Linked DNA regions of Mus musculus. The protein of the gene in region 2 purifies or fractionates together with the protein of the main gene of each other region. This does not show direct contact. Links are inferred from orthologs where the notes say so. Each region holds a gene or a part of one and is shown on either strand. Other genes may lie near its edges. The genes, in order: Ago1, Tnrc6a, Cnot7 and Ago3.

Region 1 (5,739 bases), on a different chromosome or scaffold from region 2:
TAAGACTGACCTTGTAAAAGTTTCTACCTTTCTCTCTGCCCTGGAGAGATAGATGGAGTGAGGCCAAAAATGGTATCTAAGGATGGGGCCAGGGGTCTAACCATCTAAGTATGTGTATGTGTATATACTTGCCTGACACATGCATGGTAGGCCTTCAGTTCCTTTTTCCCAATGACACACTGAGGGACCTTAATACATGCTCACTCCCTCCTCCCCCAACAGCAGTTTTACCAACACTGTCGCTTAGATAATAACTATACTCAGTACCTCATAGATGCCAGGTGCCTCATGGCCACATCCAGGGCTTGCACAGACTCCAGGGGCACAGGGATCTGGCCACTGACCAAGGCTTCATGCAGCATGCGCCAGCTCACAATGGCTAGCCACTTGATGGAGACCTTAAAAATTCTATCCTTCCCCTCCCCGGGGATTGTCACCTCAAAGTCAACCTTCAAGATAGGAGAAAGGAAAGGATTACTATCACACTGCCACAGACTAGTCTTCCCGGCTAGTCACTGTCTCCCACTCCACAAGCTGCCAAAGGGCTCACACTAAAAACCCCAGAATAGGGCTGGTGAGATGGCTCAGCAGCTAAGAGCACTGACTGCTCTTCCGAAGGTCCTAAGTTCAAATCCCAGCAACCACATGGTGGCTCACAACCACCCGTAATGAGATCTGACACCCTCTTCTGATGCGCCTGAAGACAGCTACAGTGTACTTATGAATAATAATAAATAAATCTTAAATTAAAAAAGAAAAAAAACCCAGAATAAAAACCCACACCCAATCTCCACAGATGATGCCCCAGTGCTTCTGGCCTCCTTAATCTAGAAGGAAATTCTTTGGGTCTTTCTATTTTATTTTATTTTATTTTTACGTCTAATCTAATCTCACTGTTTAGGGATAGGCACACAGTAAGCATCTACCCTGACTCATCATGCCCCAAAATATACTTTTCCACACAAAAGAAAAGAAGGCTCGCTGGACTCACAGACTCCAGGTGGGCTTCCCTGGGCTCACAGACCTAGCGCCATCCCTGGCCTTACCCTCTCATTGCCAATGGGCAGTGCTGTGACCGTGTAAATATTCTTCTTTCCATCATACACAGGCTTGCGATCCCCAAAGATCTGCGGTTTGAAATGCTGGACCATGTATTCCACCACCTCCCTGCAGAAGACAGGCGTGGCATGTGGAAGCTGAGAGTATCATGTCAGGCTTTTGCAAGCCCTTCAAAATCGAGGCACTGTCCCATGTATTATGCTGCTTTCTATTGTCTACTCCTCGGCAGTATGCCAAAAGCCTCAACATTCCTATCAACCGGCAGGTCTGATTAAAGTCATCTTCTGATTTGTAGTCTACAGTGTAGCTTAAAACCCACACTTCTCACAACCTAGGGTGACACTGTTGGCCCTCAGTTCACCAACACCCACAGAGACCTTCTGAGGGGGAAGCACCTGTTCTCAGGTCTATCCTGAACCTTCCACAACCTCTAATTCCCAGTCGGTCGAGCAAAAACAAAAGGAAAAAGAGCAAACGATCTGAGCTAGCCTAGAAATAATAAAATAAAGTGTAGAACAATCCCTCTCTCTGGGTCTCTAAACTCTTAGCAGTTTTCTCTCCATCATCACCTTGCTCTCATTCCCACACCTACGTTCTTCTGACACAGCCTCTAGGAATCCACAATGTCTCAATTTAAACTGCCTTGTGCCAGTGGCTCCACTCCTAGGACTTCTATCTTACAGATACATTCATGCATGGGTGAAAATATGTATCTTTATATAATACTTAACAGTTTCAATCTTGTTGCAAAGTTTAGACTCAACCTAAATATTCCACAATAGATCAAGAAAGTTATGCGGCCACCCCAAGGACTACCTAGGGCACTATGCAAAAGAATAAGGCAGATCTAAATAAACTAATATACGCTATTTTCCAATATATGTGGCTAAACAGAAAAAAATGGACAATATTGAACAAAGTATATAGTATTGTACATTAATATTATATGTGTTCATACATTACATATTGTATTGGCTGGTTTTGTGTGTCAACTTGACATAAGCTGGAGTTATCGCAGAGAAGGAAATGCCTCCATGAGATTCAGCTGTAAGGCATTTTCTCAATTAGTGATCAAGGGTGGGAGGGACCATTGTGGGTGGTGCCATCCCTGGGCTGGTAGTCCTGAGTTCTATAAGAGAACAGGCTGAGGAAGCCAGGAGAAGCAAGCCAGTAAGCAGCACCCCTCCGTGGCCTGTGCATCAGTTCCTGCTTTCTGACCTGCTTCAGTTCTAGTCCTGACTTCCTTGGTGATGAACAGCAATGTGGAAATGTAAGCTGAATAAACCCTTTCCTCCCCAACTTGTTTCTTGGTCGGGATGTTTGTGCAGGAATAGAAACCCTGACTATGACACGTATGTATACATAACATTAATGCACATATATTTTATTATATGTAATACTTGTACAAAATCAATGTGTATATGCATATACAATAATATGTAATAATGTAATATTATATGTGCTTGTTAAGAATATAATTAATAATTAATGATAATAGAAATTGATGATATATTACTATAGAATGTATTATATACTCATGACTATAATATTAATGTACATATATTAATGTATGCACGTACAGAAAAACATCTGAAAATACACTCAAGATTGTAGAAAAAAATGTTCAAGAACAATAATTTTTCACTGCTAATTCCTAGTTTTTAATTGTGAATATGACTTTCAAGTAATAATAAACCAATTTAATCTGCTTCTTATTCGACTAACCCCTCCAACTACACATTCCACAACATCCCCTGCAAGCAAGAACATCCATCCTGTTCTTATTCCCGCCATTTTGACCTTGCCTTTTAACTTCTTTCTCTACCAGCTCCTTTAGTAAGTCTCTAGTCTCTGTGCTCATGCACATCAGCAAATATTAGACTATGCTCCGTGCTACACTCCGTCTAGCCGGCATGCTTCCTCTTTTCCCTGTTTAATAAATTGGACTTGGTGCCACCTGCGGGCATCGCTTACCGGTTGACTCTGCGAGGACACTTATCCGGCTTGATGTCCACCTCGTAATGGTAAACGTCAATCTTAGGAATGTCCACCTCAAAGTAATTGGCCAGAAGCTTGATTGGTTTGCCCACAGTGCCAATGCCAGGCCGGCGGGGTGCCTGAAACACCTGCTGCAGGGGAGGCAGGTAGGCACCTGCCGCTGTGAAGACAAAGACGCCACTGAGGACAGAGTCTGGCAGTCTCCTACCGTGGTCAGACATGGCCCCTCAGACCAAGACCACTGGTCTCTTTCCAGTTTTCCTAACCCGGCAGGGGGCTTCCACTAGCTCAGACACTCACAGGCTCACTGGTTTTTCTGGTGGCTTATTTCTCTTTTATTTTTGTTTTAAACCTTTCTTCATTTAGGAAAATGTGTATCTGAAACCTCATCGAGTAAATGTGTAACGAGTTCCTATTGCATCAAGAAAAGTAGTTAAGTCTGTTTCCTAGTTTTACAAAACCTTTTCTTCCTTCTACACTAGACTGAGATAACTGTCTCTACCGGGCATCTGGCAGATGGAGAAGGTCCTATTCTGTGCTATGAGAGGCTTACTTCACTCATTACCATCCAGAGCACAAAATGGCACAGAACTTTGTGATTACACCCTCTGTTAATGTGGACAGGAGAATGACCCTAAGTAATCCAGGCTGGGAAGGGCAAGGCCGGTGCCTGAGAGAGGATTGAGACATGCAGTGGCTGGCTCTGGAGAGACATAAAGAAGAGAAGGGTTGAAGGACAGCATCTGCAGACTAAGAGGAGACTGCCAGGGTGGGAGAGAAGGTCGGATCTGGAGGACACAAGAGAAAACAGACAGGAAGGGGGTGGGGGAAAGGGTGCAGATAAGGCAAGGTAAGTTGGATTGGGGTACAGGGAAAAAACTATCAAGATGTAGAATGAAGAAACAGAAGGAAAGAAAAGCTCACATGAGGAAGAAAGCTGGAGGTTCTGGAAGGAGGAAGAGCAGTAAGAGGGGAGGCAGCAGGTCAGAAGGGGAATAAACAGCACTTTCCATTCTCCACAAATCTTTCCACACAGAGGGTCCAGACAGCAGAAAGGATCGATTCAGAACAGAAGGGGCCCTTGGGAAAGGCTAGCATAGGCCAGCTTTTCTCTCTCTCTCTCTCTCTCTCTCTCTCTCTCTCTCTCTCTCTCTCTCTGTGTGTGTGTGTGTGTGTGTGTGTGTGTGTGTGTGTGTGTTGACTAAGTGGGGCCTTTGTCCTCAGCTACTATTGTTCTTGCCTGCAGAAGACTAGCCCAGGTGGAAGAGGGATAAACTCAGAACCTCCCTTTACCAGAGCTCTGCTTTCATGGAAAGGACTGGGGGATGGGGCAGGGGTGGGAGGATACGGAGCATATCTTAGGGAGGGGGGTCAGGAAGAGCACCATTTTGTGGGAGGTGCACACTTTCCAAAGCTGAAGGACTTGACTCCCTCTAACCACCTGTCAAATCAGCCCCAGCCCCTTTCCACAGAGGAGCATGCAAGTCCAGCCCAAAGAACTCAGCGGCAAAGGAACTAAACTAGTCACACCTATCCCAGAAAGAGCTGAGCGGACACTGCGCACAAGCCCACTAACAAACACCCCTCTCACATCCTAGCTCTTTAAAGTTTACTGTTGCACATACACTCACCATCCTCAGCTCAGTGTTTCAAAAAGAGGACCATACTTGACCTAGTCACAGCTCAAGCTAATGCCGGGCACAAAGACAGGTACTTAGTATACCCATATGAAATGAATGACCAAGTCTACCCATAGGCACACCACAAGAGTACACAACTACACAACCACACTCGCAACGGTCCCGAACGAACAATCATAAACTCTGCATTGGAGAAGCACTTGCCCCCTTTCGGATAGATCTTTCCCTTTCCCAAGTTCTAGGATCCCATTCACCTTTTGCCTCCTAAACTGAAAAAAATCAGTTGAAATTCTGGGAGAAAGACATCCCTCTAGAACCAAGGGCAAAGCAGAAATTATAGGGTGTGAGTTGAGACAGACACTCCCCTCAGGGCGCTCTCCACCCCAGAAATGGACAGTACACCAGTGCCAGCCCAAGAGCACTCTCCTGTCCAGGATTCAGGGAAAACGGAGAACACATCTCCACTTCATCCCCAAACTAGGAAAGAAGGCATGAGGAAACAACTACCTCTCTGCCATTCTGTCCCCAGGAAAGCTGCACAGCTGTACAGTCTCTACTCCCCAACCTCGCCCTGCCCCCAGCTTTTAGTCTGAGAAAGGAAGACACTTCCCCTCAGACCCAGACAGGGACAGACGGCCACTTTGTGATGCAGATGAGGGCCCCAGCACAGAGGACAAAGCTCCAGCCTAGGGGGAAAGGGGCGGGGCCCTTCCCTGCAGACAAAAGCAAGAAGGGAGGGGCCCTGAAAATGACACTCCCCCTCCCCCATCCCCTACAAGCACTGAGAAGGAAAAGTAACCGAGCTCAAGGCCCAGGCTCAGGATTCCTCCCCAGCGACTCAGGGGCTCACACATCTTCTAAAGAAGCCAGCCGACTACTCAGAGGGCGTGTACCCTCGGTCAATCAGGTGGTGGGCAAGCAAGGACTGAGGCCGATCTCTCGAAAAATATCTGTCCACAAACATTAACCACCCACATGCATAGACACAAATTACAGAATAGGCACATGAGTTTAACCATATGCTCACACTTGAATGATCTGA
Region 2 (5,739 bases):
GTAGCAGTGAGTGCTAGCCGTGGATTGATATTGCCCTTGTATGTTGCAGTATAGAATTATTTCTTCCAGGAAGGCTGACTTTTTGGTTCTTTTTATCATGTGGATTCTACATAAGCAATAAAGAAGACAAATATCATCGACTACTTTTGGGGGGCATGGATGGACGGATGAACAGGGTTCTACTAATTAGTCCTTGCTTGCCTCTGAATCACAGATCTGCCTCCTGAGGGCTTGGATTCACGGTGTGACCAGAACCAGCTACTCACACTGTGATGAAATAATTGTAAAGGGAGTAGTAGTTGGTGCACTTTGCAGCACTTACTTAAATTATATTTACTGGATTTGTTACAGGTCAATCTCTAGTTGCTTTTCTTGCCATTATTACAGCTCTTCATCATTTGTTTCTTAGCATTTGTACTTTGAGAAAAAGTGAGACAAGCAGCAACATTTTTCCATACTAGCAAATCACACTAATAGTGTGACTTGGACTTATTTCCAGACCTTCATCCTGGGAACTATAGTGAAAGTCACACTTGAAGACAGCCTAAGTACAAATGTTTTATGTAGCCAATGTCACAGATGCATGTCTACCCACTGGACCCTTTAATGAGATAGATGGAGAAACTAACAAAAACACTGCGGGAAAGAATAGAAATAAAAACAGATGGTAGTTAGATGCCAATCTAAGGCTTGGTCATGTGATGGATGCCTATGGCCTTCAGTATCAGCTGCTGAATTACTGATCATAATTTGGTGATTTTCAGCATACCAATTTTTCTGTGTTGTCTCTTACTAAGCATGGCTATGAAAGTAAATTAGGAAATTGTTTAAAGTTAATGTTCTTCCTTATGTATAGCATGGTAATTAAGTGTATACACTAATAAACCAGAAATACAGTGCAAAGGCTTTGGGATCCTTACAGAATTCTTCTAACCCAAAGGAGTTGTGTGGAAAGCTGTTTTAGGAAACGGAATCATTTTGGGCTGCTTACGCTTACTTAGCTTTTTACATCCCAGTCTGTTTTCTCCCGTGTCAAGTCCTAAGCCTGGATTGCCCTAATTCATCATTACCACTCAGTCTTCTCTCCAGAATTCTTATATTTGTTGGATGTTGTCCGTTTATATATTTAGCAGGTCTCCCTGTGGGACTTTTTGTCCCATGCTGTACTGTAGGGTATTGAACAAAGCAGCAGAATTCTGCCTGTGAAATTACTGAACATGGAGCCTTGGTGGCTGAAAGATAATCAGCGCCTCACAGCCATTCTGCGGAGCATCTTGCTAATGTTGAGGAGCTACGTGTATTTCTAATGGATCGTCATTTTTCTCAGCCTACATACTATTTTGGAAATTGTTAACACTTATAAATAGATATACTTCTCCTTTATTCTAGATATAAATCATAATACTTCAGGATCCCATTATGAAAATTGCCAGCGGGGACCTGTGTCTTCTACAAGTGACTGTAGCACAAGCTGTAAGAATGCTGTAAACGACTTGTTGGAAAAAGAAGCATGGCCCTCAGCCCCTGGCAGTGATCCTGAGTTGGCTCCAGAATGTATAGATGCTGATTCTGCCTCCAATTCTGAGTCAGAGAGAAACATCACTGTCATGGCTTCAGGGAACACAGGTGGTGAGAAAGATGGCCTTCGGAACAGCACTGGACTTGGTTCTCAAAGCAAATTTGTGGTTGGTAGCAGCAGCAATAATGTGGGCCATGGAAGTAGTACTGGCCCATGGGGCTTTCCCCATGGAGCCCTAATAAGCACATGTCAGGTCTCTGTGGATGCTCCTGAAAGCAAACCAGAAAGTAGTAACAATAGGATGAATGCTTGGGGCACTGTAAGTTCTTCATCAAATGGAGGGTTAAATCCAAGCACTTTGAATTCAGCTAGCAACCATGGTGCCTGGCCAGTATTAGAAAACAATGGACTTGCCCTAAAAGGGCCTGTAGGGAGTGGGAGTTCTGGCATCAATATTCAGTGTAGTACCATAGGCCAGATGCCTAACAATCAGAATATCAACTCTAAAGTCAGTGGCTCTTCTACCCATGGTACCTGGGGTAGCCTTCAGGAAACTTGTGAGCCTGAAGTAAGTGGTACACAGAAGGTTTCATTCAGTGGTCAACCTCAGAATATCACCACTGAAACGACTGGACCAAATAACACTACTAACTTTATGACCTCTAGTTTACCAAACTCCGGTTCAGTACAAAATAATGAACTGCCTACTAGTAATCCAGGGGCCTGGCGTGTGAGCACAATGAATCATCCTCAGATACAGGCTCCGTCAGTTATGAATGGCACTTCCCTTTCTCACCTTAGTAATGGAGAGTCAAAAACTGGAGGCTCCTACGGTACTACATGGGGTGCCTATGGTTCTAATTACTCTGGCGACAAATGTGCAGGCCCTAATGGCCAAGCCAATGGTGACACTGTGAATGCAACTCTAATGCAGCCTGGCATAAATGGGCCTATGGGCACTAACTTTCAAGTTAATACAAATAAAGGGGGAGGTGTATGGGAGCCTGGGACAGTGAATTCCCAGAGTTCACCATGGGGAAGTGGAAATGGTGCAAATTCTGGAGGAAGTCGAAGAGGATGGGGAAGTCCTGCACAGAACACTGGCACTGGTCTATCCAGTGTCGAGTGGAACAAACTGCCTAGCAACCAGCATTCCAATGACAGTGCAAATGGCAATGGTAAGAAGCTTACAAATGGATGGAAATCTACTGAGGAAGACGATCAGGGTTCTGCCACATCTCAGACAAATGAGCAAAACAGTGTGTGGGCCAAAGCAGGAGGCACAGTGGAGAGTGATGGTAGTGCAGAGAGCACTGGACGCCTTGAAGAAAAAGTAACCGGGGAAAGTCAGAGTAGAGATAGAAGAAAAATTGATCAGCACACATTACTCCAAAGCATTGTAAACAGAACTGACTTAGATCCACGTGTCCTATCCAACTCTGGGTGGGGACAGACTCCTATTAAGCAGAATACTGCCTGGGATACAGAGACATCACCAAGAGGGGAAAGAAAGACTGACAATGGGACAGAGGCCTGGGGAAGCTCTGCAACACAGACTTTTAACTCAGGGGCATGTACAGATAAGACTAGCCCTAATAGTAATGATACCTCATCTGTATCAGGGTGGGGTGATCCCAAACCTACTCTGAGGTGGGGAGATTCCAAAGGCTCAAACTGCCAGGGGGGGTGGGAAGATGACTCTGCTGCTACAGGAATGATCAAGAGCAACCAGTGGGGGGGTTGCAAGGAAGACAAGTCTACATGGAATGATTCGCAAAAGAGCAAACAAGGCTGGGGTGACGGACAAAAGTCAAGCCAAGGTTGGTCCATTTCTGCCGGTGATAACTGGGGAGAATCTTCCAGGAGTAACCATTGGGGTGAGGCCAATAAGAAATCCAGCTCAGGAGGCAGTGACAGTGACAGGTCCATTTCTGGTTGGAACGAACTTGGGAAAACTAGTTCTTTTACTTGGGGAAATAATATAAATCCAAATAACTCATCGGGATGGGATGAATCTTCTAAACCGAACTCTTCCCAGGGGTGGGGAGACCCTCCAAAGTGTAATCAGTCTCTAGGTTGGGGAGATTCATCAAAGCCAGTTAGTTCTCCAGATTGGAACAAGCAACAAGACATTGTTGGATCATGGGGAATCCCACCAGCCACCAGCAAGCCTCCTGGTACAGGCTGGCTCGGGGGACCTATTCCTGCTCCAGCAAAGGAGGAAGAACCCACAGGCTGGGAGGAGCCATCCCCAGAATCTATACGAAGAAAAATGGAGATCGATGATGGAACTTCAGCTTGGGGAGATCCAAGCAAATACAACTACAAAAATGTGAACATGTGGAATAAAAACATCCCGGAAGCCAGCGGCCGCTCAGACCAGCAAGCGCAGATGCACCGGCTATTGCCAGCCGCAAGTGCCGTCTCAAGCAAGGAGACCAGCAGTGGCTCTGGTAAGCGTTCCCGTGTGGAGTGCAGAGGTATTGTGGAAGCAAGCTTTGTGTTGACATGCCTGTCATAAGATTTGTGTAACACGGCTCTTGGATATGCACATCAAGACCTTTCAGCTGTGACCTAGAGGTGACATTCACCTGGCAACAGCTCTGGTTTGTGGAGTCTTGCTCTGTTGTGTTAGGAATGTAGTAGAAGAGGTTAAGTGCAGACTTACACACTTAGGTATTCTTAGTCAAGCCTTAACAACGTGGTTTCACTACTGAAGTACAATAAAGCCAAATGCCTGAGGACCGTACTCTAGATATTTGGTATTATATTTGATCTTATGGGATTTTCTCACTGAGGCATGAAGTTAGTACCTCCTCAGTTAACTGGATAATGTGTGCACCTGAAGCATCGCACTGCTTTCTAGTATACTCTGACCTTTGCTCTCCTGTACTCAAAGTTTTTTCTCTGTAAATTGATAGGGCAACATTTTCTAAATGTGGCAGCCCTACATTGCCTTTGTTAACAGGAGTTTTATTGAATAATGCTCCATTGGTTAGAGAGCCGGTAATGTTTTCATGAATTCTTCTTTTAGTGCCTAATTGTGTGGGGGTTTTGTTTTGTTTTGTTTTGAAATATAAGCCTAGTCTATTGATTTATACTTATTTCTTAGGGAAAGTGTAGACCTTTTTTCCAATGTGTTAAAGGCAGGGTGGCTGTGTACCTGATGGTAGTCTTATAGTCAGCTGTTCTCCACTGCAGTGATGTGGGAAGAGCGTCCTTTCAGGACAGTGTAATTAGTGGAACTTTACACCGCACCTGCCTCAGCTCTCAAGCTTTGGTTCAGAAGAACCTGACATTTTTAGGAAAATAATTTGCTATAATGAAAAGAGTCTGCCCTAACACCAAGAAGGCAGTTTTGAAAGAAAAGGTTAAAACATTATACAATTATATTAATGCAGAATAATTTGTGTTCTCCACAAAATATGTCTCTTGGTTGTCACAGCATCATTTTTCAGTGTGTGATGTGAAATTCTTCATCTCATTTCCCAAGTCCTCTTCCTTGTCTTTAATTGAGGTGCTTCCTAATATCTATGCTGATGACTTCTTTTCCCATACTTTCTAAAGGCTGGGGTGAGCCTTGGGCAGAGCCTTCTACTCCAGCCACAACTGTGGATAATGGTACTTCAGCCTGGGGCAAGCCCATAGACAGTGGTCCCAGCTGGGGAGAACCCATTACTGCAGCATCCAATGCATCCACGTGGGGCTCCAGCTCTGTTGGTCCACAGTCATTAAGCAAATCTGGTAAGTCATCTGATGTTAGCGGTGCTGCTGATAACTCATAAGCTGCATTTAAGTGATGGCTAGTGCTCCTAACTTATCACCACTAATGTATTTCTCAAAAGTGACTACTAGTAATTTACACATCCTCCGCCAAATCTAAATTCTTTCTCTTGTTGGATTATTTAAAACTGAATTTAGCAGCTTTCATGCCATTCAGCTGGAGAGACTAGATAGTATAATGTGAGACACATGTCCAAACCATCAAATCTTACATGGGAAGGGCCCTGGAATGCACATGAATATTGTTCCTCTACCCTGTTGTGCTCAGGACAGACTGTAGGAGCCCCAAAGACTGTGTGTAGAGATAGATGTTTGTTCTATTGTGGCTTCAGTACCCTTTGAACAGCCTTATAGAGAGTATAGTATAGAATATCTTTTCTGTCTCATTTGCCTCTGTCCTTTGTATCATTTTAAAGACCAAATAGGTATGCATAAGA
Region 3 (5,739 bases), on a different chromosome or scaffold from region 2:
AAAACAAACAAACAACAAAAAAAACCAAAACAAAACCCCACAAAAAAAAACCAGAAAAAGGTCAAATAACGGATTACTCAGAACTCTGAATAACAATATCACCAATATCACATATAAATGAGAAATCCTTAATATATACCAAAAATATAATAGTTACACAACAACTAGGAGGAAGTGTTGAGAAACTAGTAAAAGTTGTTTCAACTTTTCAATACTAATGCAGTTTCAAAAGCATGCTTTTTGTAAAAAAGAAAAAAAATGTCAGCAAATATGCTTTATAAAGTCACAGTGTAACACTGTTACAGTCAAGTTTTCTTTCTTTATGTCTGAAATGTATATACTTCAATGTTAACAGTAATCCTGTGGGTAAATCCACACCTCGCAAGTGTGTTTACCTCACCTTTAACCTGAGGAGCTAATGAGAAGGTGAGAAAACACTACTAGAAAATGCTGTCCATCAAGCCAACAGTTTTAGGCTATGTCAGTGGTGAGGATAATCCAGCTTGCTCACTCCATAACACTCAAGTTTAGCTCTGAAGAGGACACAATAGCAGCCAGTGTGCTCGTTAACTATGGCTGTGATGTTCTTTTTCTGTTACAGAGTTTATCAAGCACTGGGCAAAGAAAGCAAAGTCTTAGCTTGAAAACACACATTAATAACCATGCTTGCTTTCAAGCCCACAGTAAGTACAACAGTTACAGTGACCAAAATACCAATATGTCTAAAGACACATTTTTACATAGAGAGTATTTATTTTTTCCTAAATGTTTGTTACCTAATACTGATCTAGGTATTACAAGTCATGCCTTCAAGATTCAGAGAATGTTAAGTAAGACTTGAAGAGCGTTCTTCCAATTGTAGGTATTTCTTATAAGTGGGCTACTCTCAAGAATCTATGCAAAGCTTAATGCAACACACACTGCAACTATACATATCTTTCCACAAATCTTTCTATTTACACCTGATAAATAATGCTTTGCACTTACTCCCTTGATGCTAATGGTAAAACTTGAAACAACACTGGCAAACCTAAAAGAACCCTGACTTGGACAAATGTGAGAATTAAACACAAAAATTTTCGCAAGCACAGACAACAGGCAGAGAGATGAAAACCACTAGGCTATTATGATGTTGGACAATGTTCACCAACACTGTGCTGCAGAGCCTAGTGCACTAACACGCTCCTTCTAGGCATTCAACAAGGTCAATTTCCACCATCCTTCAACACGTCTAAGATGCTATTATGATGCTTCCCACATTATGCAGTACTACTTTTATCTTCTCAAAGGCTTTTGTTCTCATTAACATTTTTCACTATGTTCTTAAAAATTTTAGCCTAAAATTTTCATTGTGTGTGTGCGCGCGCGCGCCTGCACATGTCCATCATATGACACATATTCAGTTCTCTCCCACCATGTGAGTCCTGAGCATCATACTTAAGATCATCCACCATGATGGCAGGCACTTAAGCACTGAGCCACCTCACCAGCCAATGCACTCTTTTCTTTACCATCCTATGATGTTACCATTAGTAGAAATAGTAGCAAAATTGGCGGTAAAACTAGTTTTGTCTGAGTAAGAAAAAAACAAATGTTCCTGGAGAATAATGGAAAAGCCACTGCTACAAAAATTACCATCCTTGCAATGAAGACTACCAGCTTTACCAACTAATACCCTGAGATATTAGCTCCCAGTCACAAACTGAGTATCTTATATAAAAAAACAAAACAAAAACAAAAAAACCAAACAACACCCAATGCTATGATGATTAATTTGAGGGGTAAAAAGAACCCTGAAGAAGTTAAAATAGGAAAAAACTAAAGAACACAGTAATCATTTGAGGAGAGCATGGGAGGACATTTTCACCTGTTCCAAAGCTGTAGTACTCATGAAGCACTATGAAATGACAGTGGGGATGAGCACGTTAGCCTTTCTAGGGTCTATAGGGACTGTCAGGACAGTACTAGATGTTAAAATACTATCAGGATTATTTAGAGGAGTAACAACACATTTTTCAAGATACACAACTGCATCGCTTACACTACTGCCTTCTAAAACCATCAGTCCTGCTATTCATTAGGTCTAACATAAAACTGTACATATTCAACAAAAAATAGGAATGAAGAAAGAATTCTCATTCTCATGTAAGAATTCTTACACTAGCACTGATTTTCTTATCATTTTCTGTTGCTATTTTTCAAACCAGATGTTTGATCATATTATACAAATATAGGCTACCAAGCAGAAGGGCACCACAATATTGTAACATAGTACAGAATATACTATATATTTTATTTCCATACCTGAACAGCAGTAATATGCCCCTGCCTCATACTAGGCGCTTATATCCTGAAGCTCAGAAGTCATATGAACTCCACAATGGTTATAAATGTGGCAAACTTACTTAAAACATTGTGTGTGTGTGTGTATATATAAATTTTAAAAATCCAAATGCATGGTTCTTGAGCATAAACTTTGCCAATGATGCTGTGTCAAAAGGATGGACTCACCTTCATGCAGTTCCCTCAGCTATGAAGATTGTAATAATTAATGTAGAACTATTTTAACTAAAGAAATAGTTTATACCCAAGATTTGAGGTAGACATCAGGTTTTGGTAAATATGCAAGCTTCAATACTATTACATTTTCTGTATGTAGATTAAGAGGTTGAGGATTGCATTGGAATAGCCCTTTAGAGAAAATGAATTTGAAAAGAAAATAGCCCCAATTTCCCAAGAAATATCTTAGTACACGTGGTGAGTATTTAGAATGCAAAGTATGACTGTAATAATAGTTTCTTCACAGGAATAATAACTATCTTAACAAGTCACAGTAGATTGGAGTTGTAGCTAAGTGGTACCCGCTTGCTTAGTCAGCAAAGCGCCACCCCAATCATATGTATTCCAAGTTGGGCATAAAAACAAATGTGAAAGCTCTATGTGTGGTGGCACAAGCCTTTTAATCCCAGCACTTGGGAGGCAGAAGCAGATGGATCTCTGGGAGTTTGAGCCCAGCATTGTCTACATAGAGAGTTCCAGGCCAGCCTAGGCTATGTAATGAGACACTGTCTCAAAAAAGCAAAACAACAGCAAAATGTAAAAGTCAAATCAATACCCTAAGGGTCATGCTTAGGGCCCCAGGTTTAATCTGCAGCACCTTAAACAATGACAAACACAACAGAAACAGCAACACAAATACAGGTTCACAACTTTCCATAAAAATGACCATCATATTTTAAAAATAACATCTCTATAACTAAAGTCTTTGAAATTAGAAAGTTTTTATTATCTTTCTAACTGTGAAGCAATTACAACTGCCTCGTAATAATAAGCCTAAACTTTTGAATTTCTGTATTTAGTACATTTCCAGGGACACTGAGGTTATATATTTACTTCCCACTTACGTCAAATTAAACTTAAAGTTAAACTGCCAAGTTGACGTTCCTGGAGGGTATTCTCCCTGTTCATTCATAAAGGTCAGTCCGAGCTGGATTATCTTTAACAAGTCTACATTACACCGCAACAGTTGGTACTGATAGTCAGCATTGCTTCTGAATTCTCCAATGGGTCTTGCAACAACGCCTGGAAACTCGGTGTCCTGTAAAATAATTGATAATTGTTTACTAAATGGTCATAAATACAACCCATAAACTCTCAGGAAATTTTTGATACAAGTCAGAGAATTCTATGACAATGAAATTCTGTATGTTCACACTCAATGCTTATTTTATAAGCATGAACAGCATTACCTATCAGACCTCAATATTCTATAAACTTAAATTACTTTTTCTTGAAATTTATCCATAAATTACTATCCTGTACTGATAACTCATAATAAACTCAGGCAAATATTTGGGCTATTTCCAAGGAAAAGAAAAATCATAAACTGATTCCTAAGGAGTAGGCATATGAAACTACACTTATAGCATTACATTACTAAACTCAACCCGCATGAAAGATTGATTTAAAAGTTAAAAAGTACCCTGTGCTTTCCAATCAAAGCAGTGAGACACCAAAATAAAGAAAAAGTCTCATTAATGTCATTTCTTTAGTTAGCACAGGTGTTTTCTGTGTACAGTCACACTCTCTCTTGTAAGCTGTCCTTTCTGTAATGCAGCTATTCCTTATTATCTGAGATATAAATGACCACTAACAATTTCTGCTGCTCATAAAAATAACGGTCCCTGCCGAGACAGAAAGTTTCAGCTCTAATTATGGACAAGCATACCTTACTGAATGGTATGCTATACAAAGAAATTCCTGTTTATCCACAGAGATGCATTTCTTTTTAAATTGTGATAGTAAAATTATGTATTAGTTTAGCATGAGCATTCAAATTAAGGCTAACAAAAAAGAGGAGGAGGAGGAAGAGGAAGAAAAAAATAGTAAGTCAATATGACAGCAAAGAAATTAAAATTTGCTGAATTTAATACAACCACCAGCCAATTACTGGATTCTATAAAAATTAAGCTAGACGTGAAGTGGGCCAGGGATAGAGGTGCAAGACATTGAAATATCGCCTTCTAGGGCTAATAATTGTGTGGATCAAGAAAATAGACTAGCACTGGGCGTGGTGGCGCACTGTCTCGAGAAAAACCCTGTCTCAAGAGAAACCCTGTCTCGAAAAAAAACAAACAAAAAAACCCAAGAAAATAGACTAGCTATAACAAATACACAAAATGTAGTAACAAAGCAGAAAATTAATTATACAAACATGCTAGGCAGACTGAATACCACTTATAAGAGCAGACTGTTTAATGATCAAGTATGTTTCTGGAGCTTTAGCAATTTTTTTTTTTCTAAAAGATCTACTTTGGTTTTTCTATCTTTCTTCTTTTTAAAAAGATACCCAGGAACTCACTGGTCTGAAAGCTTATTTGGACCTAGTAGCACGGCCTTGGGATTGCTTAGAGCTGAGCTGACATGCTTAGATAGGCTTTATAGTCCTCCCACTGAACGTAATCAGCTTCACAAAATTGTACATCAACAAGTACATTCTGTAACCATGTCCTCCTCCCCATGCCAAAGACGTCTAAACCACACAACATTCTCCTCCTAGCTGAGTGAGCGACTCCTCCCATCTGCAGCCTTGGTATCTTACTCTTGCCTTCTCACAAAGCAGCTCAGACTCAGTAAAAACCCATAGGAATGCCATAGCTTCCTGAGAGCACAGGGAAGCCTGCCTCCCTTAATCTCTTAAACCCAGGTGAAGCAAGACTAAATCCTAAAGCATGTCTGCCACTTACACTCAAATGTCCCTGACTCCTAATCCCTTGCCGATTAATGCAAGCAGTAAAAACTCAACTTGTCAAAATAGTTTTGTTTCTGATAGCCTTCGATGAAAGAAATAGTCCACTTTTTTCATGATTAAATTAATCCTTAGCTATCAATGAGAAGGGTTTAACTGATGGTTTTTGGTTTTTGTTTTGGTTTTTTGAGACAGGGTTTCTCTGTATAGCCCTGGCTGTCCTGGAACTCACTCTGTAGACCAGGCTGGCCTCGAACTCAGAAATCCACCTGCCTCAGCCTCCCAGGTGCTGGGATTAAAGGCGTGCACCACCACGCCCAGCTTTACCTGATGGTTTTAACAGCCCACTCCAGGGCTTAGGGGGACAGTTCATCTGGTAAAAGCACTTGGCATGCAAGCATGTGGACCAGAAGGAGTTCAAACTCAAGAATCTATGCTTAAAAGGTGCATGGCCCATGTGCTGGCAATTTACATGTTTGGAAAGCAGAGGC
Region 4 (6,539 bases), on a different chromosome or scaffold from region 2:
GAGTCAATGCCCTCTTCTGGCCTCTGTGAGCACCAGACACACACATGGTATAAGTGATACATACATGTAGTCAAACACTCATAAGGTAAAAGTAAGTAAAACCTTTTTGCAAGATTATATAAAACTATCAGCCACGACAACTCTACTTACATAGTAGTAATTTATGATAAAAATAAGTGGTTTCCCTCCATGAGCCTTTTCACCTCCAATGTTGGGGATGGAATTTGTAGTACGCTAGGAAAGCAATCCATAACTGAAACGCCCATCTTCACATAGAGTATTAGAGAATATTTACATTTAAGTATAATTCCTTTCTGAACAACAGCTGGGCTTTACCTAAAAATATAAACTAGAGTACTAGGGTTCAAAAATAGGTAGTGTTTACATGAACATTGCCTGATTTTCCTGTTCTCATTTTATTTAGAAATAAAGCATAGCCCATATATTTTATTTAACTCAATTGTAATTAGACCAAAAAAGTTTTATAAGATTTACCCCCAAGGAATCATAAACATAAATGCCAAATTATTATTTAAAATGAATTATTCCCTTTTTTTTGTTGTTAAATTGAAATTGAGGTGGTACTAATTAGTGGACTGTATAGGACAACTGAAAAATGCCTTATAGAGCTAGGTATGATGGCATACAGCTTTAATCTACACAAGGAGACCTAGTTTCACAAATAACCCTTGTAATATTTCATGCAAATAGGAAAGAAAGAATAAATATTTCTAGTAAGGAATGCTCCATCACTAAATAATTACATAATAATTATATTTTATATCCTCTATTGCACTAAAAGGAAAACAGAATTTGAGAACCAAAATTTCAGTACTAACCTAATAGACTGTTAGAAAGCACCTATATCTATTTTTTTCAAATTTAAAATTTATTATATTGCTTTATGTGTATGAATGTTTTACCAGCACATATGTATGTGCACCATATGCATGCCTGATGCCCTTGGAGGTCAGGAGAGGGCATCAGATCCCCTGGGACTGAAGTTATAGTTTTGAGCTACCACATGGTGCTAGGAACCAAACCCGGGTCCTCTGCTGAAACAGCAAGTGCTCTTACTTGCTGAGCCATCTCTCCAGCCCACATAGCTAAAAAATGTCAAATCTGAATTTAAAACCTAGTTGTCTATTTTCCTAAGTATGTTTCAATTTCACATTCACTGTAACAATTACATAAAAATCGCAAGAACAACACAAAAAACTCTCTCTCCCTTTTTCTCTCTGTTTCTCCTTCCTTCCTTCTTTCTTTCCTTCCTTCCTTCCGAAGGGTCTCACTATGTAGCTTTGGCTGGCCTAGAACTCACTATGTAGACTAGACTGGCCTCTAAATCACAGAAACCCAGGTGTTGAGGTTAAAGCCATGGGTCGCTGCACCCAACCAAAAGAATCATTTTGATGGTAACAACCTTGAGCCTGATAGTAAACAACAGCCAGTCACACATAAACTTCACTGAAGAACAAATTCTATGTTTCAAGATGGCCAAGCATGGCTGGTAGAACTGTTTTGTTTGTTTTTATTCAATGAACAACAATTTGGTTGTTTTGTTGTTTGTTTAGACAAGGTCTCACTAAGTAGCCCCAGCTGGCCTAGAACTCTTTATGTAAATCAGGCGGGCCTCCAACTCACAAAGATTGAACCATCTCTGCCTCCTGAATGTTGGGACCGAGGTGTGAGCCACCATTGCCAAACTAGTTAATAAATCTTAACTATACCTTCCCTGATGGGAAGACATCAACTGCTCTATATTTTATCAAAACAACACCCAAAAAGAAAAGGTACATTTTACTGAGTCAGGCTTAGCTAATTGTATCAACTGAGTAGTTGGCCCTATATCACAAATAATCAACACATGTCAATATTTTCACATAAAAAGCCCAAATAGGGAAAATACTCAATTTGGGGGAAAGCTCTTCAAAAGTTTTAGGTAGATGATTAACACAACCTTAAATGTCATATTTAGTTTTCCAGGCTTGGCAACAGGGTAGCTATGTAAAAATCAGAGAGCTGGAAATAATCAGATTATCTTATAAAGTAAAAGCAGTACAGACAGAATGTAAACTTTTAAAGCATAGAAAATACAGTCTGGAAACACACATATTGATAATAAGAGTCCAAAACTTCACAGCCTAGACATATTTCACTGTTAAGAAAATATGAGAAAAAAAATGGAACATAGAAAGGGAAAAAATGGTAGACACTGAGTAGAAAGAAATTCCACATAATAAAGGAAATGCCTTTTTGTATCCCTTCGACAATTATGCCCTGAACTGATTTGAAGGCCTTCTATGTTGCTAGTTTTAGTTTTGGGTTTTTTTTTTTCTCTTATATTTGGGGACCTTTCAAATTGGCAAGATGAGATATGAAATTCAGTGACTTGCTAGGACATAATAACAAGGCAATCCCCCAAATATATGAAAACAATATATTACTGATCTTGTGGATGGAGAGAACTTTCAAACTGGAGAACAGGGTGACTGCTGGGCCAGCAGGCCGTTATGTAACACCTATTTCATGTTACTCTATCAACTACTTTAGAATCGCTGACTACTTTTTCCTTTTTAAAGACAAGCACTATCCAGGCCGGCTTCCTTTCTCAAGACCTCTTTTTTTTTTTTTTTTTTTTTTCCTCAAGAGACAAATCCTAAATTCCAGATTTCCTGTGCAGGGAATAGAAAATAGAGGGGAAATAGTGTCAGCATCCTGAAGCTCTGCCTTCTAGTAAGCAGTGGTCCAGAGCGACAGGACATCTCCGAGCTCCTCAGAAACTACACACTCAGACACTGAGAACCAGGGGTGGGAGCAATGCCATCTTGCATCTGACGTCGCCCGAGCACCAATTAGAAACGTAATCATTGATTATCTCAGAGTATCCTCAAACTACACTAATAGGTAGATAAGGGTTATGCCTGACTTGTTCTGCATCCATGGGACACACGACCCGGTTAAAGGACAAGCGCGCCCTTTATATTTCCAACAAGAATTCCAAAAGCAAGGGCAAACTTCTCTCCATTCTCAGGGGAAAGCACTCTAGGGGGATGTCATCACCTACAGAACTCCAAACTTAAGCCCTCCTTGTAGTTTCGCCAACTCAATGACCCCAAGAGTGTAGGTCCCTGGGCTGTGGAGAGGACACCCGCATCGGGCCTGAAAGCCCGCAACTCCCTCACTATGTGCGCTGACAGCACCTGAAGTGGAAGGAACAAGGATGCTCAGGGGACAACATCGGGGTAACGACCCCACCTGCCCTGTCCCGCAGCTCGCCTCACCTGCGGAGCCGATTTCCATTCATGGAGCTGGGGGGAGTGCTTCACGAGAGAAGGGTGCCACCACAGAGGCGAGGAGCGGACGCCCTCGGAAAGCTCCGGGCACAAGAGGCACAGTCGGGAGAGACAGACAGCCTGCAGCGAGGTAAGAGCGGCGACAGTCCTGAGTGAGGACGCTGGAACCAGGTCCGGAACTTGCGTCGCCCACAGATGCTGACGCGTGCAGCTTCCCGACCCGCCAGCCGCCCCGCCGCCGCAGCCGCTCGCTTTTCCCGGTCGCCCCCGGAAGCCCGCTCGCGTCACTTCCGCTCTCCGGATCCCGCCCCGCTCTCCCTCCGGGTCGGCAGCTCGCCTGGAGCCAGAGCCTTGCGGGAGCAACAAGGTCTGGGGATCTGTGGGCGGGTGAGCCGGTGCCTGGCTGGGGCGGAGCCGCGGATGGGCGGTCGCCCTGCACCCGCTGTGCCTGACGGCGACAATCCCGAGCGAGAGGCCAGCTTTCCCCGTGCCAGCCTCCCGGGTGAGGACCGCTGCTTGAGGCGACATCGCTGCCTGCCCGCGGAGCTTACCTGAGGTACATCCTACCTGAGAGTGGCGGGTGACCAGCCAAGGGCATCCTCCCTCCCAGCTCCGTCTGCCACACCCGCTTGGAGCACGTGCACTAGGCGGTGACCACAAGTTCAATATAGTTTTTAAACGGATGAACAAGAAACGGGATGTTCCATGTATACCAGATGGAATTACGTTTATGTTTAAACAGTCTCCCAATACGTTGAGGAACCTAAACGACCTTCCGGTGTTTAAACACCTGCTAAACCTTCTCTTCCTTGGGACTCGAGACTTTTACAGCTAAATTGGTCAGCCTCCAGTTTCCCCGATCCGATCCAGTCTGGTGCTTTTCTGCTGACTTGGAACCTTTGGGAGACTAGACCCAGCTCATTATCCGGCAAATAGTCCGTCTTTTAAAAATACTTGGCTTCGTGAAACCAGATACTTCATGCAAGCTTAGCAATGATTCAGTATTTTTCCCCGTGTCCCAATGAACCAGTAATGTTTTGACATATATTTCTTTTTTAAAAAAGAGAATTGAGAAAGATTTTATTTTCACGATCCCTTCCCTCCCCGTTTTGGGTTTTTGGATTAGTCACTTTATCTTTGGACTTTAGTTTCCTCATCAGAAAAACTGAAAGGAAAACAAAAAACAAAAACCTCCCAAATGTTAGTAACAAAAATATTTACAATAGTTACAATTTTGAGGTACTTAATAAATATGCTGACTACATAATAAACATTTAATACATGGAAGTGACTCCAAGCCACATCTAGCACACCAATTCTGCCTCTCTTCCTGTTGACTGAAAAGAAATACTCTTATCACTTTTAAAATATCACATCCTCAGATGAATGAGCACATCTTAAAAGTCATGTTCAAGCTCTGATTATATACAATCCATATTGACCTAAGCCATAAGAACTAAATCTCAGACTTGTGGAAGGACCTATCCTACCCCCAATCTCTTGATTCTGGAACTAGTTCTTTGAATGAATGCAAGCTCAACTAGCTTCCAGAAAAACATGGTGTGGTGACAAACAGCATGCTTTTATTTGTTTTCAAATGTGTGTGGTGGTGTCTGGTCTCTGCACTTCTGGTGTCTTGGAGGCAAGAAGAGGGTGGCAGATTCCTGAGAACTGTTCAAACAGTTGTGAGCCATCCTGGGTGCTGGGAAGCACTTAGGTTCTCTGGAAGAACAGCCAGTGATCATAACCACTGATTCATCTTTTCGAAGGTGCTGCCTTTTTTAACACTGAAGGAAGATTTGCGTCCTTAGAGTCAGTGAAATCCAACAAATATCTGTGATGGGTTCCTATCTACTTTTGCTTTTACTGTTTTAGGGTAAACCCACATGAAAAACTCATGAATTAAAATTTAAAGTAGGGAGGCAAAAAGGTCTAGGAGATTCTTGCCGATGAAAAGTTGTATGAGACTTTCCCCTGGCCAAATACTGTTTGGGGTAACTGATTTCCAAATGAGCCTAATCTTGGGGACATAAAGTTTTGTGTATCTTGTTAACTGCCACACCTTCAGTACCAGAGCAATGCTTGTTGCTGTCCTGTAAGAGCACATTAACTATTTGCTGGCTGGCTGGCTGGATTGTTTTCAAGGATAGGGCTCAAGAAGTAGGATAAAACTGTGGCTTATGCCTGATGGCATCGATGGTTCTCAGAAGGAAGATCTATAAAACAGTACAAAGTCTCAGGTGCAGAGGAAGCAGTGAACACTGTGCACTGAGCATCCCAGCAGCCACCTCAGCCAGACAATGCAAATTTTCTTTAAATACGACTAAAAAAAGCATGAACTAGAAAAGTTAGAAAGACAGTAAATTTAACTTTACATTAATAAATTGGACATAAAAATGGGACGTTTTTTTCCTATTCATAACGAAAGGCAAGACATGGGTTAGGAAAAATTACATATATATGTACACATATGTGTATATATACACATATTATCTCCAACAAAGAACTTATTTCTTGAATTTTATATGCTTTCATAGCTCATTAAGACAAACAACCAAATTTAAAAAGGAGTAAACTACATGAACCACCCAACAAAAATACCAGGGTATCAAATAGTTACACGAATACATGAGTCGCCATGACAAAGCACATTAAAATACCAAATGCTCAGTGCATTTCAAACTTCCTACAGTAACGTGTGGTAAGGCCTTGAGGCCTCCAAATGAGATTCAGGGATTTAAGAATACTCACTTTCTTCCCAACTGCCACTGTTATTCTACAGCCCTTCATGTGTCTGTAGTCTCCTTCCTGTGTTAGGGAAGACACACCACTAAAAAATGACAGCCCCCACCAGTCGTTTCTAGAATGACTTGTGTTTGGATCACCAGCAACAAACACAATATAAAACATGGGCTGTAAGAACACATGGAGCCAAGGCTGAAGGCTCTCTACTACTCTCCATAAGCCAAGGTACCCACCCAAAGGTCCTTACCTGCTTCTGTCTTGTCAGACATAACTAACCTTCCTAGTCCTTACGATGCAAAGGATAAGTCCCATTAATGTAAGTCTTATAAAGGATGACTTTGCTGCTTTCCCAGTGGCATGAGAAAATGAGCCAGTGAGACATGAAGCCTGAATTGCAAGGGCATCCAGAGGAAGATTTCTTTGTTTTAGAAAGAAACACTGTAAGGGGAAAAAAAAGTCCTTCTATCTTCTGACATGGCTGCTTTGAAGGATTGCTTC

Evidence for each region.
Region 1: the proteins of Tnrc6a (region 2) and Ago1 purify together in Homo sapiens (affinity purification with mass spectrometry; 10 studies listed by BioGRID and IntAct, with this or other methods). This does not show direct contact. The link is inferred for Mus musculus from reciprocal best matches to the Homo sapiens genes TNRC6A and AGO1.
Region 3: the proteins of Tnrc6a (region 2) and Cnot7 purify together in Homo sapiens (affinity purification with western blotting; 3 studies listed by BioGRID and IntAct, with this or other methods). This does not show direct contact. The link is inferred for Mus musculus from reciprocal best matches to the Homo sapiens genes TNRC6A and CNOT7.
Region 4: the proteins of Tnrc6a (region 2) and Ago3 purify together in Homo sapiens (affinity purification with mass spectrometry; 7 studies listed by BioGRID and IntAct, with this or other methods). This does not show direct contact. The link is inferred for Mus musculus from reciprocal best matches to the Homo sapiens genes TNRC6A and AGO3.

The regions. Positions count from the first base shown.
Region 1 is NC_000070.6:126,460,639-126,466,377, forward strand, and holds part of Ago1 (protein argonaute-1), read right to left. Parts: intron 3,218-5,739; coding exon 3,034-3,217; intron 1,168-3,033; coding exon 1,047-1,167; intron 450-1,046; coding exon 268-449; intron 1-267.
Region 2 is NC_000073.6:123,168,147-123,173,885, forward strand, and holds part of Tnrc6a (trinucleotide repeat-containing gene 6A protein), read left to right. Parts: intron 1-1,389; coding exon 1,390-3,972; intron 3,973-5,086; coding exon 5,087-5,263; intron 5,264-5,739.
Region 3 is NC_000074.6:40,504,051-40,509,789, forward strand, and holds part of Cnot7 (CCR4-NOT transcription complex subunit 7), read right to left. Parts: intron 3,599-5,739; coding exon 3,405-3,598; intron 1-3,404. UniProt on the Homo sapiens protein: Has 3'-5' poly(A) exoribonuclease activity for synthetic poly(A) RNA substrate. Its function seems to be partially redundant with that of CNOT8.
Region 4 is NC_000070.6:126,425,984-126,432,522, forward strand, and holds the start of Ago3 (protein argonaute-3), read right to left. Parts: upstream 3,560-6,539; 5' UTR 3,304-3,559; coding exon 3,285-3,303; intron 1-3,284.